Callithrix jacchus: one gene and its partners. The protein of the gene in region 1 purifies or fractionates together with the protein of each later gene. This does not show direct contact. Links are inferred from orthologs where the notes say so. Each region holds a gene or a part of one and is shown in the gene's direction. Other genes may lie near its edges. The genes, in order: TNIP2, TANK, MAP3K8, TNFAIP3 and RELA.

Region 1 (3,518 bases):
AGGGTTTGGAGGCAAGAGAGCGCCACGCCCATGGGATACAGGAGCCACGGACACGGAACAGATCGTTTGTTTCTCTTACTGTCTGCATTTGACCACTGCAGGAAGGAGGCTCTGAAATCACATTTTACGTGGGCACCGTGACTCCTGCTGAGGCAGGAGGAGGACTGCTTGAGGTTAGGAGTTCAAGACCAGCCTGGGCAACATAGTGAGGCCCTGTCTCTATTTAAAAAAAACAAATCGGGTCTTTTGCCTGAAGTCCTTTATCCCTGAGAAGGGTCTCAGTGCCACCCAGGCTAGAGCACAGCCTCGGTGTCAAAGAGACACCCTGTCTTTAAAAATCAATCAATAAAAACAAGAAAAATAATCATCAGGGTTCCTGTAGTAATATAGCTTAGTATTTTGTTCTGTTGTCATGAGAGCGTTCTAGGTTCCTGGTCTGTCCCTTCTCACCTCAAGTCCTAGCGACAGAGGCTGGACCCTTCTGCTGCCACTTCTGGAGGAGAGCTTAGGCTCCTCCCTGGCTTTTCTGAAACTGTTTCTTCACGTGTGGGATGGACTAGTTGAGCCTGCTTCACTTCCCTCATAGACTGTTAATTTTGGAAGATTCTTCGGAAATAGAAAAGCACAAATTTAAGGCCAGGTATTAGAATTGTCAGGTCGGATGTGATGGTTCATGCCTGTAATCCCAGTACTTTGGGAGGTTGAGGCAGGCGGATCACTCAGTCCAGGACCGGCCTGGGCAACACGGTGAAACCTTGTCTCTACAAAAAAGACAAAAATTAGTCGGGCACAGTGGCATGCACTCAGAGTCCAGCTACTTAGGGGGCTGAGGCAAGAGGCTCACTTGAGCCTGGGCAGTGGAGGCTGCAGTGAGCCATGATGGCACCACTGCACTCCAGCCTGGGCGACAGGGCAAGACCCTGACTCAAAAAAAGAAACGTCATTCTAAGAACCATTTGAATTCTTTATTATTATTATTATTTGGGACGGGTCTCACTCTGTGGCCCAGGCTGGAGTGCTGTGGTGCAATCTTGGCTCACTGCAACCTCCGCCTCCTGGGATCAAGCGATTCTCCTGCCTCAGCCTACCGAGTAGCTGGGACTACAGGCGTGCGCCACCACGCCCGGCTAATTTTTTTGTGTTTTTAGTAGAAACAGCGTTTCACTGTGTTGGCCAGATGGTCTCAATCTCCTGGCCTCGTGATCTGCCCGCCTTAGCCTCCCAAAGTGTTGGATTACAGATGTAAGCCACTGCATTCCAGCCTTTCAATTCTTTAAGAAGTAATTAGGGTTGGGTGTGTCAATTTCCTAGAGCTGCTGTAAGAAAGTGCCACAGACTGGGGGACTTCAAGCCACAGAAATGTAATCTTTCACAGTTATGTTGGCCAGAAGCCGAAATCCATGGCACTGGCTCTCTGAAGGTGCTGGGGAAGGACCCTTTCTTGCCCCTCTGACGTTCCTGTGGCAGCCGGCAAGCCTTGGTGTTCCCTGGCCTGTATCCACAGGAAATCACTCATATCTTCGTTGTCATATGGCCTTCTTCTCTCTGTGCGTCTGTCCAGATGTGATCTTTTAATGAGGACACCAGTCCCATCCGAGTCTGGTTTGTCTTCAGCTTAGCTAATTACACCTGCAGATACCCTATCTCTAGATAAGGCTCCATTCCCAGATCCTGGGGGTTCCACTGTGGGCATCTTTTTGGAGTACCCACTACAGTAAAGTTTCTACCCTTCCTATCAAAAAAGTGCTTGGAATTGCCACTTTGATAATTTCATGATCACTGGGTATGGTGGCTTGAGCCTGTAGTCCCAGCTATTCAGGAGGCTGAGGTGGGAGGATTGCCTGAGCCCAGGAGTTTAAGACCAGCCTGGGCTATAGCGAGACCCTCATCTCAAAAAAACATTTTGATGTTATGAAATCTAAAATTATGAACTTGCTTGTGAAAATAGAATTTGGCAGGGCATGGTGGCTCATGGCTGTAATCCCAGCACATTGGGAAGCCAAGGCGGGCGGATTGCTTGAGCCCAGGAGTTCGAGACCAGCCTGAGCATCACAGCAAAACCCTGACTCTACAAAATACCAAAGTTAGCCAGGCACGGTGGCACATGGCCTATAGTCCCAGCTGCTCAGGTTAGGATGGAGAATCACTTGAGCCTGGGGAGGTCAGGGCTGCAGTGAGCCACAGTTGTGCTACTGCACTCTAGCCTGGGTGACACTAAGACCCTGCCTTAAAGAAAAGAAAAAGAAAAAGGTCTGGTGTGGTGGCTCACACCTGTAATCCCAACATGTTGGGAGGCTGAGGCAGGCAGATCACCTGAGGTCAGGAGTTCGAGACTAGCCTGGCCAACATGGTGGAACCCCATCTCTGCTAAAAATACAAAAATTAGCCGGGCGTGTTGGCGCACGCCTGCAGTCCCGGCCACTCGGGAGGCTGAGGCAGGAGACCTGCTTGGACTCGGGAGGTGAATGTTGTACTGGTCTCCAGCCTGGGCAACGGGATGAGGCGGTCTCAAAAAAAAAAGACTTTAAGATGAAGTTTTAGAATAGAACGTTGTAGCCAAAAAACTCCAGAGTTAACTGTTAGTTCCAGTGTCTGACTTGTGAATGAGTGTTTGTTGCCTAGTGATAGGGCGTCCATGCCAGGTTTCCTTTTGCTTTCTGAACATTTGCTCTTGACACTGGTTCTTTTAATTCAGTAAACTGTGCTTTTAAATCCTCCACTTAGGAAATTGAGAGGCTGACTGAGCGACTGGAAGAAAAGGAGAGGGAGATGCAGCAGCTGCTGAGCCAGCCACAGCACGAGCGAGAGAAGGAGGTCGTCCTCCTGCGGAGGAGCCTGGCGGAGGGGGAGCAGGCCCGGGCCGCCAGTGACGTTCTGTGCCGCTCCTTGGCCAACGAGACCCATCAGCTGCGGAGGACGCTGACCGCCACCGCCCACATGTGTCAGCATCTGGCCAAGTGTCTGGAAGAGCGACAGCATGCACAGAGGAGCATGGCGGAGAGAAGTCCTGACGAGGTAGGCCGCGGTGCAAGCGAGTTGTGGTGAAGAGCCTGTGCGCTGGAGCCATCGCCCACAGGCTCCTGATCACAGGGGTCGGAGGCGCCCCAGAGCCCTCCTGTGTTCTCAGTAACGAGACTCGGCTGACACGGCAAAACTCGCTCATCCAAGGGTTTCTTTTAAAATAATGGAATGTGCAAGATGGGATAGGAAAGCAGGCAGCCACCTCTGCCCCACAGCAGGCCTGTAGCTGGACCTGCGCCACGGCGGGTGGTGGCACTTGGGTTTCACGTGCCTCAGCTGAGGGTGAGGAGGAAGAGTTGGGGGTGGCAGAGCTGCCCGGGAGTGCAGTCAGCTCCTCCTCATCCGAGGACACTGAAGCACAGCCAGGTATACTGCTGGGGACCAGGAGTGCCTCCAAGTTCCACACCCAAAACTCCCGGAAGGACTGAGTACCCGCCTTCTGCAGGCTCAGCGTGTCTGCGTGGGTCCAGGCACAGCCAGAGCCGCCATCTCCAAAG
Region 2 (3,518 bases), on another chromosome or scaffold:
AGTAGACTTTCACATATACTATACTATATGGTAGAACTCTAAGTTTATAAAACTTCCTAAAAAGCAATTTGCCAGTAAATAGCAAAAGCTTTTGCAAACATCTGTGCCTCTTGAACCAAAAACTCAAGTCCTAAGACTATATCATAAGAAAAGATTTGTTAAAGGCTCGAAACTATATAGACAGGGATGTGTATCACAGTATAATTTTTAATCATGGAAAGCTAGAAACAAATTTTCAATAGTTAAGTTACAGTGATCTATATGAATAGCTATGTAGCCAAGAAAAGTGATGATAATAGGTATTAACTTGTAAGAATATATTCACAATATATAGCAAAATGAACAAAGCAGGATACATAAATAAGTGTTATTTTCATTTATGCAGAAAAATGTTCTTGTGTGAATTTATATGTTTAGGAAAAGAAGAAATCTGATACAATATATAAATCAAAATGTTAACAGGAATAATTCACAGCTGATAAAAATTTGGGTAGCATTTACTTTTTATTCTTTTTGGCATGTCTGCATTTTCTAATTTTTCTATAACAAGCATGGAGTCATAATACAAATAATTATCTTAAATAAGAAATGCGTACCTGAAAATATGACATAAAAAAGTTGAATTGTTGCTGACAGATGCAGAGAGCATATTTCTAGTTTTCTAAATTTTGTATATTTTACATACTACTGGCTTTCGGAGAGTAGGGGTTTTGTGTGTTTAGTGGGAAAGAAAAAATATAAATGGACAACTTGTCAAAGTAACTATTCTAAAATTCCTACCTTAAAATCTATTCCGTTGCTGGGCGCAGTGGCTCACATCTGTAATCTCAGCACTTTGGGGGGCTGAGGCGGGCAGATGACAAGGTCAAGAGATCGAGACCATCCTGGCCAACATGATGAAACCTTGTCTTTAATAAATACAAAAATTAGCTGGGGGTGGTGACACATGCCTGTAGTCCCAGCTACTCGGGAAGCTGAGGCAGGAGAATTGCTTGAACACGGGAGGCGGAGGTTGCAGTGAGCTGAGATCACACCACTGCACTCCAGCCTGGTGACAGAGTGAGACTCTGTCTCAAAAAAAAAAAAAATGTATTATCTTTATGGTTTTGAGTTTGTGTTATTTTTGCTTTTTTTCAGGTAGTACCAAAAATAAGGCTTTTCTACTAATGTCCACAAGGTTTTTGTCTTACAGATAAGAGTTATGGCTGTATTCCTCTGCTTGAAGACTATGAAACAAGGAAGAATAATTTGACTCTTGATCAGCCACATGATAAAGTGATTTCAGGAATAGCAAGAGAAAAACTACCAAAGGTAGACATTGCTTCTGCAGAAAGCAGCATCCAAATGCTGATGCGTAACATAGCTTCCTCATTTATTTTTCTGAAGTGAGCTACCACTGGAATTCTGAATAGAAATTCCATGTATACAAATATGTGACTTAAATGTTTCTAAATAGAAGAACTATTTCCAAGTAAAAATAAAGGCTAAGGTTTTATATTTTCTATTGACCTTTTTTCTATATCACAAGCATTTCAACAAAGAAAATAATTAACAAATAGGACTGGGCCCAGTGATTCATTCCTGTAATTCAAACACTTTGGGAAGCCAAGGAGGGAGGATCACTTGAGCTCAAAAGTTTGAGGCCAGCCTGGAAAACACAGGGGACCACTGTCTCTACAAGAAATAAAACAATTTGCTAGGCAGGATGGCACATGCCTATAAGTCCCAGCTACTCAGGAGGCTTAGGTGGGAGGATTGCTTGGCCCTAGGAGGTCAATGCTGCTGCAGTGAGCCTTGATCATGACACTGTATTCCAGGTTGGGCAACAGAGTGAGATCCTGTCTCAAAAACAAAAAATGCATGCATATATACGTGTGTGTGTGTAAATATACAATGAAATGGAAGATTAAAATTGGGTAAATAGTAAGACACCAATTAGAAAATAGCTTTCTAGTTTTTTCTTTAATTGTGCTTAGTTTAGACAAAGAAATATCTATTCAACTAGCTTAAGCAAAACTCTCTTGAAGTAATATAGAAAGAAATACTACATATCTGCAAAGAGACATATACAAGGACATTCATGCTACATGGGTTAGAAACAACCTAAGTATCCGCCAATAACAGAATAGTCCATCTTTAGAAACTCTTTAGAAAAATTAAAATATACTAAATATAAATTTGCCTAAATTTCAGTAGCAATGTGGAGTAAAGATGGAAATTACAGAATGATAAAATGGAAATACTTTATGTCGCTCGTTGTTGTTGTTGTTTGTTCTGTTTTTGTTTTTTTGGAGACAAAGTCTCATTCTGTTGCCCAGGCTGGCGTGCAGTGGTGCAATCTCGGCTCACTGCAACCTCCACCTCCCAGGTTCAAGTAATTCTACAGGTGCAGCCTGGCTAATTAGAATACTTTGTGTAGTTTTTAAAACATAACATTAATGTTTGTGAAAACACAAATATGTAATAAAGGTATATAAACCTGGACAGGAAGGTTACACATCTTCTTTAGAAAAACGATCACTTCTAGAACTGGCGAGAAAAGAGACTGGGCTATCTGAGAAAGTACTAATGGGGGCTTCAGTTATATCTGTAACTTTTTTTTTTTAATAGAAGAGAGTTAAGCAAGTATGCAAAATAGTAAACCTTATAAACTTGATAGTATATATATGTATCTTATATTGTTCTCCGTTTTCACATATATTGTTCTCTTGTTTTCACAAGTCATTGAAATTTTGTAAGTTTGAAAAGGATATTTTTAATGAGATGTGTTGGCTTTTGGTGAGATGATACATATTTTAAATAAAATAGCTGGCAAATAAGGTTTCTTAATATCAACAAGACCAATTAAGTCAAGAGTGCTATAGTTATTTCTTTCCTTCTAAATAAAGTAGGAAATTTTAGCTTTGTCAGGGTTATTTAGTTACTGATTGTATAACAAAGACTATCTTATTATTTAACATCAAATTTGAGAAATCCAATTTTGAGAGCTTTTTCTGTAAATAAAAATTTTAGACTAATAAGTTCTCCTGGTGCCCCTTAGTACATATATTTTTATTTGAAACCATTCTTGAAGTCATTCAGTTTTCTTCACCCCCATTCAAATTTTCATTTATCTAAAAATGCTGATAAATACAAGAAACCATGGCATTGAAATAAATTAGGTTTATTTTGCAAAAGGGGAAATTGAGAAACAATGATTCCATTATAAAATTGTTGAATTACTATAAATGCTGACATAAATTTAGTGCTTAAGTAAACAATATGTATAATCTTCCTGTTTCAGTGTCTTCCAAATGCCATTATTTACCATAATTTTAATAATCCAAATTCCTATTCCATTTATAACATTAATTTGAAAGTAATAGAATATCTCCAGTTTAAAGTATGTAGAAGGTAGTTTTTAAAATAAAACCTTGGTTAGAACAACAGGGATGATGTGGAAAGCTCTAAGATACATTAATAGTTTTGTTTATTTTAAATTTGAATAATCTGTCATTTACAAAAGTTTATTGTCAGTC
Region 3 (2,685 bases), on another chromosome or scaffold:
GATGGCGTTGCTCTGTCACCCAGGTTGGAGTGCAGTGGCATGATCTCAGGTCACTGCAACCTCCACCTCGCAGGTTCAAGCGATTCTGTCGCCTCAGCCTCCTGAGTAGCTGGGATTCTAGGTGCTTGCCACCACATCTGGCTAATTTTTGTATTTTTCGTGGAGACTGGGTTTTACCATGTTGGTCAGGCTGATCTTAAATTTCTGACCTCAGGCAATCCACCCACCTCAGCATCCCAAAGTGTTAGGATTACAGGCATGAGCCACCGCACATCAAGTGAGTTAGGGAAACAGCATAGCATTGCCCTGCATGGATAAAATACTGAGTTTGAAGTCAACTTACATTTCCATCTTCCTCTGCTTAAAATCTTGCCAGCCATGAATTTTTTCCACTTAGGAAAGTCAGTATGCATTCCAGGAGCACTGAATATGCAGGGAGAGGGGTTTCCATTTTTATTAAAAATCTGTGGCGTTCTTAATCCATTTAGGTCCAAACCCAGATGTCAAGCCTGGTATACTTGTTTATATTTCTTTGCTGCTTATCTGACTTTTGTGTATTTGAAGAGGACCATCTGACTATTGGAAAAATATGCCAGGATTTCTAACTAATTTCTTGTCTCCATTGACTCCTGTTTGAACTTTGTGGTCTATGTAATGGTTTTTTTTCTTTTCTTTTTTTTTTTGAGATGGAGTCTTGCTCTGTTGCCCGGGCCAGAGTGCAATGGCACTATCTTGGCTCACTGCCACCTCTCCCTCCTGGGTTCAAGAGATTCTCCTGCCTCAGCCTCCTGAGTAGCTGGAATTACAGGCACCTGCGACCACACCTGGCTAATTTTTATATTTTAGTAGAGAAGGTGTTTCACTATGTTGGCCAGGCTGGTCTTGAACTCATGACCTTGTGATCTGCCCACCTTGGCCTCCCAAAGTGTTGGGATTACAGGCATGAGCCATTGTGCCCAGCTGGTTTTATTAGGCCCCAAAGGATTTATTTCTCTGCAGAAGGAAGTTATTTATTATTTGATATGTTTTCTCATAACTTATTTTTTTAATATTTTCCTTTTCAGATTCTTCATGCACGGGAAGCACCGAGGAGTCTGAGATGCTCAAGCGACAGCGCTCTCTCTACATAGACCTTGGCGCTCTGGCCGGCTACTTCAATCTTGTTCGTGGGCCACCAACTCTTGAATATGGCTGAAGGACGACATGTTTCTCTAAATTAAGACAGCATTTATCTCCTGGAGGCTGGTTCTGCCGCCTCCACACAGGGACCCTGTATAGTGAATTGTACCATTTTTGAAGGAGCAGCGTGACCTCCCGTGACCCACGAATGTACCTCCAAGTGGCCCCTGTGTGTTTGACTCGTGAAGCTATCTGGTGTGCACCAGGCCTCAAGGTTCTCATTTCTCAGGTGATGTTATTCCAAGGAAGGAGTTTGCACGTTCACAGAAGAGTCGTGTCTGCTGACTGTTTCATTCGCTGTGCACTTTGCTCAAAATTCTAAACATGCCAGTCACAGGGATAATAGGGTACCTGAAAATTACTATTCTCGTTTCTTATTTAAGTATGGAATCTTCATTTTACTTGGAATAGTTGTGTTGTGTATATTGATGTATATAACTCTTTGAGCCTTTATTGGTAAATTCTAGTATACATTGAATTCATTATAATTTGGGTGACTAGAACAACTTGAATATTGTAGCAATAAGCTGGACTAGTGTCTTAAAAATGGCTAAGATGAATTAGAAGCCATCTGAGGGCAGGCCACTAGTGACAGTTTCTTTTATGTTCCTATGGAAACATTGTGTACTGTACATGCTATGCTTAAGACATTCAAAACACGTTGTTCTGAATGTGGATAAAACTGTGTAAACCACATTATTTTGGTACATCCCAAAGGATGAGAATGTGACCTTTAAGAAAAATGAAAACTTTTGTGAATTATTGATGATGCTCCTTTTGTAATTCTTCTGACTCAATTTTCTTTTAAGCATTTGTACATTAAAATAGCATACTGTGTATGTTTTATATCAAATGCCTTCATGAATCTCTCATATATATTTGTAACATTGTAAAGTATGCAAGTAGTTTTACTTAAAGTATGTTTTTATATTATGCAAATAAAACCCTTTTGTCCAATGTGATTGGTCAAATCAACTGAATAAATTCAGTATTTTGCCTTAGTTATTGTGAAGACTATGATTCTCACCTGGGACTGAGGACAGCCTATAGGAGCTGGGATATAGGTGAGAGGAAAATATGTATCATAAGAAGGCAACAAATACCAGGAGCTTTGCAAATTGTGTTAATACACTCCTTTTCTTTAAAAAAAAAAAAATATATATATATATATTTATATATATATATATATATATATTACCCACGATCTCTTGACCTCGTGATTCTCCCACCTCGGCCTCCCAAAGTGCTGGGATTACAGGCATAAGCCACTGCACCCGGCCAATACACTCCTTTTCTATTGTTCTTGTATGAAGCTATTGTCAACTGGAATGGTTTGCATCCCCGTGCTACATCGAGGTAGAAAAAATAATTGTGGCTGTGCCTGTAATCCCAACACTTTAGGAGGCTGAAGTGGGAAAACTGCTTGAGCCCAGGAATTCGAGACCAGTCTGGCCAACATGGTGAAACCCTGTCTCTACAAAAACCAAAAATTAGCCAGGAGTGGTG
Region 4 (3,518 bases), on another chromosome or scaffold:
TTTGTTTTTGTAGAGACCTAGGTCTCAATATGTTGCCCAGTCTATTCTCAAACTCCTGAGCCCAAGTGATCCTCCCACCTCGACCTCCCAAAGTGCCAGGTTATAGGCATGAGCCACCGTGCCCAGCCTATTATTAGTCTGTTTCTTATTCTGATATGAAGTCTGGTGGGAAGGTTCTGAAGGAATGTTGACTGCTCTTAAAATTGCAGTGCATCTTGCTGGAAGTGGTTTTTTTGTTGTTGATTAGAAAACATTCCGCTTTAACTCTTTATAAACATCAGAATAAACTTTATGAATAAACACTGAAATACTTCTCTTTGGGGCTAAAGAGGAAACACCAACCAGGAGCCTAAATGACAGCATAAAATTGCAAGATTTTTCATAAAATAGTTTACCAGCATAGGGAGGGAGTGATTACTCAAGAGTTTGCCCAAGGGCAGGATTGCTTGGTGGTGGTCTGAAGGGAAGGAGCTATAGACTTGTCGGGGCTACATTGAGCCCTTAACTGGCATCCGGTACTCCCCAAATCCAGCGCTGTTCAGCGTGGTCTCAGAATGAAACAGGAGCTTCAGTTGATTTTGAGGAGCAGTACCTGTTGCTGACAGACAGGGTTGGCTCCCTGACAAACGTTACTGAAAACACAGGTTATTCCCCTCCTCCTCAGTACCCACTCTCTGCCTTCCGTCCCTTATTTAGACTAATCTTTTAAAGTGATGTAACTTAAAACAGCCCAGTGTGAGTTAATCTCTGGGCCAGCTAGTATCCCGGGAGTAGAGGTGCTAAGATCTTTTGCCTACAGATCAGGGTAATGACAAGATCAAACACTGGGGTTTCCTGCAGACAGGTATATAGGAGTCATATCAAAGTCAGGCTAATGGAATGGCTGTTTTTTTTTCTTTCCTTTTCAGGTGCTGGAGAGCACAATGGCCGAACAAGTCCTTCCTCAGGCTTTGTATTTGAGCAACATGCGGAAAGCTGTGAAGATACGGGAGAGAACTCCAGAAGATATTTTTAAACCTACGAATGGGATCATTCATCATTTTAAAACCATGCACCGATACACACTGGAAATGTTCAGAACTTGCCAGTTTTGTCCTCAATTTCGGGAGATCATCCACAAAGCCCTCATCGACAGAAACATCCAGGCTTCCCTGGAAAGCCAGAAGAAACTCAACTGGTGTCGGGAAGTCAGGAAGCTTGTAGCGCTGAAAACGAATGGTAAGACTTGCTCTGTTGTGCTTCTTTTGCCTGGGTGATAGCTTCTGCTTGCTGGGTCCCCATTCATGGAGCTTTAATAGCACAAGCCCAAACTCAAATCTCTTGAGATTTAGTAGACACTTTAGTGTAGAAACTCTATACGGGACATGTGATAAGAGCTGACTTGTTTTGTGAATCTATTTATTAAGGATATTTTCTGATTGTGTATATTGCAGAGCACATTGAGGCTTGGAGAATGCGTTTTTAATACTCCAATTAGGTGATTTGTTTCTAATGCTTGCAAATGTTTAATCATCTGTAAAATACCCTTCACTGGCTCGTAATGGAAATGTTAATAGCCTTAAGTTCAAAAGAAAAGCATGGTGTGAAAACTGGTAGTACGTTTGTTTCCCACTGTCATTAGAAAATGCGTGTGATGTTCTTATGCCTCTCGAATTGGTAGCATTTTATGGGTTAACCAGTGAATGGCTGTTGAAGACATGAGGAATTTCTTTTGTCTCCTCCTCCTCTCTGACCTGGTTCTACTGCCTATGCCCTGCAGTGTGAAATAGATCGATGCTGAGATTTTTAGCATGAGTTTTAGACTTCACCTTCATTATTTTTAGAGGTTCCTAGTCACTGAAATCCTTCCTGCCTGTGCTGTTCTGCCAATGGCCTTTACCAGGAGTAGCTATTTCCTATTCCAAGCTTTACTGCTTTATTTTTTAATCATTTCCCTTGGATAAGAATCTGTGCATCAACAGGAGTGTCTGTTGCATACAGTTTCATGCAGGCACAAAATTCTACTCTATGGATGTGGATAATTATTACAATAAGCAAGTGGACTGTACAAGATCAATTAAATGCTCATAGACTACATAAGACCAGGAATCTCAGATACTTAAATCTGTGACAGTCCCAAACCATCCTAATAAAAGTAAGATGTCCAAGAGCAGAAAATCATTGTTGACAATGATTACGATAAGAACACTGACTTAATTAACTTAATTGGTACATTAACTTTGGCTTTTTTTGACTTGGGTAACTTAGAGTGATTGGTGGATGTGGGTTTTTAAATTTTGATTCTGGGGGGTCTTGTACATTGCTTCAACAGCTTGCCTAGATTTATGAAACACTGATTCTTAGAAACATAGGTAGAAAGAAAACTAGGGATAGCTACTGTCTGCATTATTCTTGGCATTAAATTAAGTGATACATAGAGGTAGGTAATTATGTAAAGTCATCATGGGGTTTATGTGCCTGACAATTTGTGGTTTTAATCCTCTCCCATTTTGTTACTAAAAAGAGATAGAGTAAACTTTGGGGGAGTTGGAAAGAAAGATTCTGCTGAATTAAAAATGTGGTAGGAAGGGGGAAACCTTATTAAGAAAATTAACTGACTTTTTGCCTTGTTTCCTTAAGATAGGAAATGCTCGATTTCCACTAGGAAAAAAAAAGGGACTATAAATAGGAAACACTTATTTTGCAAACATGTCATTGAAATCAACAAGGAGTCACACTACAAATAAAACTACAAAAGCCAGGTGCATTTTGGTAACGTTTTTTGGGAAATCATTTTTAGACTCAGAATCCTTTTGTTTCTTCACTTTCTAGAAAACTCCTTAAGAGTCTAAATGTGGAAGAAAGGATATCGGGAGGGAGGAATACAAATGACTTTTTTTTCTTTGATTTTGATTAGCACCTTTTAAAAAAATAATAATAATCTTTCCGTTGATAGGAGGGTTATTCAAAGGCAATATCTGGGGAGGGGGTGATTCACAAGTTTGCATTTGAGGATATGAGACTGTGGTGAATGAGGAAGGGAGTAGGTGGCATAAAATTGAAACTTCATGTGAAAAATTCCAGCGTCTATTGGCTGCAGCGATTTCACTTGTATAATGAGTAGCCCTATTCCAGCTCACCCTGACCACACCCACTTGGAAAGTCCAGGGTGCACCTCGCAGTTTAAATGTCTACACACCAGAACAAAAAGTACAATAGCTGTTGCTCAATTGCTAGTCAAATAACTTAGCACTGGGGAATTCCAGATGTTACTTAGGGAATTTTATACTGGTGCATCTCAATAAAGAACTGAAAGTAAGCACAAGAAGAAGAAAAAAAGCCTTATCTTTGCTCTAGATTTTGCAAAGGGGAAATTTCAACAGAATGCAATCATTGCTACACGTCTGCCAAGGCACAAGGCTTGGGCGATCTTTTTTGTCCATTTGTTTGAATACTTACTTAGCTAGTTTTTCTAAATGTGTAACTTGAAGGAATACTGGCTGTGGATACATATTTGAGGGTTTTATTGGTCTCTTTAT
Region 5 (4,142 bases), on another chromosome or scaffold:
AAACATACATGAATTTTAAGAAGAGGATCCATGCAAGATTCAATGATAATTTTATGTCATTAACCAAAGATTTTGATTAATCCATTCTGCCACCTGAAGTCTGCCTCCCCCGCCCCCTAACAAAAGTAAACACTTTTCTAATCAGGGCCAGCCACTGGAGAAACTGAAATGAGTGGGCGGGGTGCTAACTCTATTTTCACTTTTCTCTTCCTGTTTCTTCAGAGCCTGGGAAACAAGTCAGAATTTCCAATCTTTTCCAATTCCCACATGATTTCCTAATTTAAGACGAATTCAGAGAAAAAATAAAGTCTTTCTCCATCTGGAGAAGACTCCGCCCCCTGCAGTGGAGCATCCTCTTTCGGGGAGGAGGTGTGGGGTGGGGGTGCGCCAGCCCCAGCCCCGACACGTACGCGGTTTGGTCTTGGGGGCGATACCGGCACTGTGGGGGTCACATGACAGAATTAGTGGTCAGCCCTAGCTAGAGGTCCAGGGCAAACGCAGGGGTGGGCGGGGGCGTCGTGACTCTGCTGATTCAAGTGTCCCCTGGGGGTCCCGGACCTTCTGAGACAAGCGCCAGGCTGCGGAGACAAGGCTCCGGGGTTTACCCCCGGGCTCCTCCTGCTCCCACGGTCGCTCAGGGTCTAAAATGCAGTTCGGCTGCATCTTAAGCTGGCTCTTTAGCGTGAGAGGGGCGAGCCCTCGGCCAGCTCGCCGGCGGGAGGGCCTCGGTCGTCCCATCCGGGCTGCAGGCTCTGCAGAGCTAGTCTATACTGTCAGGCGAGGAGGCCCGGCCGCTCCCCTTCCCCAGAGCCGCATCTAGATTGGGGTGGCTAGGACATTTTAACGTGCTTCTGAGACAGTCACCACCGAAAGGCGCCTTTAGCGATCAGGAAACCCGCGTAGACTTCAACCACCTGGCCTTTGCGGGCGCAGAAGGCCAGGCTTGGCCTTTCCCTGCGCGGGACGGGTGGCCGCAGCCCAGCAGCCCTGGCTTAGCTCTAGACCCGGCCCAGAGTGACATCACCAACTCCACCGATCGCGGGAAGGGGCCCCGAAATCCCCTAAAAATAAAGTGAGTAATCGACGGACACGCCCTCCAGGTGGGGCCGGGACTCGGAAACTAGCCCAGCAGCCTGCCGCGCCAGCCTCTTCGTCCCCCGCGAGGCGCGCACTTGGCCCCGGCCCCCTGCGGCGGCTGTGCGCGCGGCCTCTTCGTCCTCCGCGCGGCGCGCACTTGCTCTCGGCCCCTGCGCCGGGCCGCCGCGGTGCAGCACGCAGGCGCGGCCGGATTCCTGGCAGTGACGCGACGGCGGGCGCGCGCGGCGCATTTCCGCTTCTGGCGAATGGCTAGGCTGTAGCGCCCGCCGCGGGCCCAGCTGCGACCCCGGCCCCGCCCCCGGGACCCCGGCCATGGACGGTGAGGTCGCCCTCTGACCCCGCGGGGTGGCCGCGCCGGGGCCGCCGGGGCTGTGGCGGGAGCCCCCGCGCCGCTTTCCGCCCCTTCTTGCGCTGATGGGCGCTGCGCAGGGAGCGGCCTGCCTGCTGGATGGTGGCGCGGGGCGGGGCAAGCGGGGAGGGATCTGACTCAGTTTCCCCTCTGGGTGGAGGGGAGGGCCTTAACTCAGTATCCTCCCTGGGTGGGACAGCGGAGGGAGCCTTGACTCAGTTTCCCCCCCACTGTCTATGGGGGCAGCTCTGGCTTCGTTTCCTTGTTAGGGAAGAACGCATCTGATTCAGTTTCCTCTCTGGACGGAGGTGGGGCGTGCCCTCCCCCAGTTTTCCTTATGAAAGGAAAACTAATTCAGTTGCCCTCGGGAGAGGAAGGATTCCTTACCCCGTTTTCTCTCAAGAAGCAGGTGTTTCTGGCTCCTTCTCCCCACCCTTTAGTTTCACCGCCTGTTCTAGGGAACGGGTCCTGACTCCGTTCCCCTGGGAGGGAGCCTGGCTTCTCTTCGTGGGGAGCAGATTCCCCCGGTGAGGATGGGCAGTGGGTGTGTGCTGACCCTGATCTCTCTCCCCTTTCAGAGTTGTTCCCCCTCATCTTCCCGGCAGGTAAGTGGCCCCCGCGGTGGTCGGGGAGGTGCTCCCTGGGGTAGGGCAGCGGGGGCAGCCACCTAATGGGTCTGCGGTGTCCCCTGGCAGAGCCAGCCCAGGCCTCTGGCCCCTATGTGGAGATCATTGAGCAGCCCAAGCAGCGGGGCATGCGCTTCCGCTACAAGTGCGAGGGACGCTCCGCGGGCAGCATCCCTGGCGAGAGGAGCACAGATACCACCAAGACGCACCCCACCATCAAGGTCAGCATTGAGCCGGGGAGTGCGGGGTAGGGACTGCGAGCCCCAGCCCTCTGTTTGGGAGTCAGGTTTGGATGTCTGGGCTTCTCTGTACTTTGGACAGATCAATGGCTACACAGGGCCAGGGACAGTACGCATCTCCCTGGTCACCAAGGACCCTCCTCACCGGCCTCACCCCCATGAGCTTGTAGGAAAAGACTGCCGGGATGGCTTCTACGAGGCTGAGCTCTGCCCGGACCGCTGCATCCACAGGTGAGCTCCCTGCAGTCTAGGAGGCCCAGCCTGAGGGGACAGGATGCGGGCTGTGAGGTAGACGCTACAGTGTTACTCCTTTCTGGACACAGGACAATTTCTCACTCCTTGCTCTGACATAGTTCTGCAAGTAAACTCCCTTTGTTTTAAAATTATCATTTATACCTCTACTCTAGCAGATAGGAGCTCTAGGGGATAGGGATGGGTCCCTAATCACTTCTGAATCCCTGACCCTGTAGCTGGAAGGGGTAGTCCGTCAGAGTCATGTCTCTTGTTTGAGAAAGAAAACCATTGAACCAGTACTCTCCCCGGAGTTGACATTACAGTTGACAGAGACAGACTATAAAAAAAATATACAGGCCAGGCGTAGTGGCTCATGCCTATAATCCTAGCACTTTGGGAGATGAAGGCAGGAAGATCTCTTGAGCGTAGGAGTTCAAGACTAGCTAAGGCAACATAATGAGACCTTATCTCTACAAAAAAATAAATTAGCCAGGTATAGTGTCATGTTCCTATAGTCCCAGCTACTTGGGAGGCTGAGGTGGGAGGACCACCTGAGGTGGGAGGCTGAGGTGGGAGGACCGGCTGAGGTGGGAGGACTACCTGAGGTGGGAGGCTGAGGTGGGAGGACCACCTGAGCCAAGGAGGTCCTTGCTGCAGCAAGCTGTGATCATGTCACAGCATTGAAGTCTGAGTGACAGAGTGACACCCAAGTAAATAGCCTGGCACAGTGGCTCATGCCTGTAATCCCAGCACTTTGCGAGGTTGAGGTTGGCGGATCATCTGAGATCAGGAGTTCGAGACCAGCCTGACCAACATGGTGAAACCCTGGCTCTACTAAATACAAAAACTTAGCCGGGTGTGGTGGTGCACACCTGTAATCCCAGCTACTTGGGAAACTGAGGCAGGAGATTGGCTTGAACCTGGGAGGCGGAGGTTGCAGTGAGCCAAGATTGAGCCATTGCACTCCAGCCTGGGCAACAGAGTGAGACTCTGTCTAAAAATACATAAACAAATAAAATATGAATAAATACACAGATAAGTAAACAAGGTACTGTCAGAGTAATACTTTCAGTGCTGAAAATAAAACAAGGTCATAGGATGAAAGGATAACCTGGGGTCGGGGAGTGAGGGGAGCTAGTGTAATGACTAGATTGGGAGGTCAGGGAAGGCCTCCCTCTGCTACTGCTTGAATGGTGAGGAGGAGGAGAAAAGTAGGAAAAAGAACATTCCAAGCAGACCAAACAAGTGCTAAGACCTTGAAGTGGGAATGAGTGTCTTGTGTTAGAGAAGGGAAAGGAAGCCCCTATGGTGGTAAGCAGATGGCCCAAAGGGAGGCTGGCAGGGGCGGGGGCGCAGAGGTGCTTGTCAGCGGAGGGGAGGGACAGGGTTCGTTGCAGCATAGTGGGAAGCCACTGGAGGGGGTTAGGTATGGAGCGATGATCTGCGGGTGGGCAGGGGAGGAAGGAGCAGGCTGGGCAAGGCAGGAAGGTCCCAGCTCTGCAAGAGACAGGTGAGTGGGGGTGTTCAGTTTCCAGAACCTGGGAATCCAGTGTGTGAAGAAGCGAGATCTGGAGCAGGCTATCAATCAGCGCATCC

The links.
Region 2: the proteins of TNIP2 (region 1) and TANK purify together in Homo sapiens (affinity purification with mass spectrometry; 3 studies listed by BioGRID and IntAct, with this or other methods). This does not show direct contact. The link is inferred for Callithrix jacchus from reciprocal best matches to the Homo sapiens genes TNIP2 and TANK.
Region 3: the proteins of TNIP2 (region 1) and MAP3K8 purify together in Homo sapiens (affinity purification with mass spectrometry; 3 studies listed by BioGRID and IntAct, with this or other methods). This does not show direct contact. The link is inferred for Callithrix jacchus from reciprocal best matches to the Homo sapiens genes TNIP2 and MAP3K8.
Region 4: the proteins of TNIP2 (region 1) and TNFAIP3 purify together in Homo sapiens (affinity purification with western blotting; 5 studies listed by BioGRID and IntAct, with this or other methods). This does not show direct contact. The link is inferred for Callithrix jacchus from reciprocal best matches to the Homo sapiens genes TNIP2 and TNFAIP3.
Region 5: the proteins of TNIP2 (region 1) and RELA purify together in Homo sapiens (affinity purification with mass spectrometry; 4 studies listed by BioGRID and IntAct, with this or other methods). This does not show direct contact. The link is inferred for Callithrix jacchus from reciprocal best matches to the Homo sapiens genes TNIP2 and RELA.

Annotation. Positions count from the first base shown.
Region 1 is NC_133504.1:190,410,909-190,414,426, forward strand, and holds part of TNIP2 (TNFAIP3-interacting protein 2), read left to right. Parts: exon of another isoform or gene 1-2,724; coding exon 2,725-3,015; intron 3,016-3,518. UniProt on the Homo sapiens protein: Inhibits NF-kappa-B activation by blocking the interaction of RIPK1 with its downstream effector NEMO/IKBKG.
Region 2 is NC_133507.1:68,599,169-68,602,686, reverse strand, and holds part of TANK (TRAF family member-associated NF-kappa-B activator), read left to right. Parts: intron 1-1,177; coding exon 1,178-1,311; intron 1,312-3,518.
Region 3 is NC_133508.1:30,400,006-30,402,690, forward strand, and holds the end of MAP3K8 (mitogen-activated protein kinase kinase kinase 8), read left to right. Parts: intron 1-1,064; coding exon 1,065-1,195; 3' UTR 1,196-2,180; downstream 2,181-2,685.
Region 4 is NC_133505.1:144,648,664-144,652,181, forward strand, and holds part of TNFAIP3 (tumor necrosis factor alpha-induced protein 3), read left to right. Parts: intron 1-732; exon of another isoform or gene 733-805; intron 806-908; coding exon 909-1,218; intron 1,219-3,518. UniProt on the Homo sapiens protein: Ubiquitin-editing enzyme that contains both ubiquitin ligase and deubiquitinase activities.
Region 5 is NC_133511.1:122,752,123-122,756,264, reverse strand, and holds the start of RELA (transcription factor p65), read left to right. Parts: upstream 1-1,324; 5' UTR 1,325-1,410; coding exon of another isoform or gene 1,411-1,417; 5' UTR 1,418-1,512; coding exon 1,513-1,549; intron 1,550-2,025; coding exon 2,026-2,052; intron 2,053-2,142; coding exon 2,143-2,294; intron 2,295-2,394; coding exon 2,395-2,543; intron 2,544-4,074; coding exon 4,075-4,142. UniProt on the Homo sapiens protein: NF-kappa-B is a pleiotropic transcription factor present in almost all cell types and is the endpoint of a series of signal transduction events that are initiated by a vast array of stimuli related to many biological processes such as inflammation, immunity, differentiation, cell growth, tumorigenesis and apoptosis.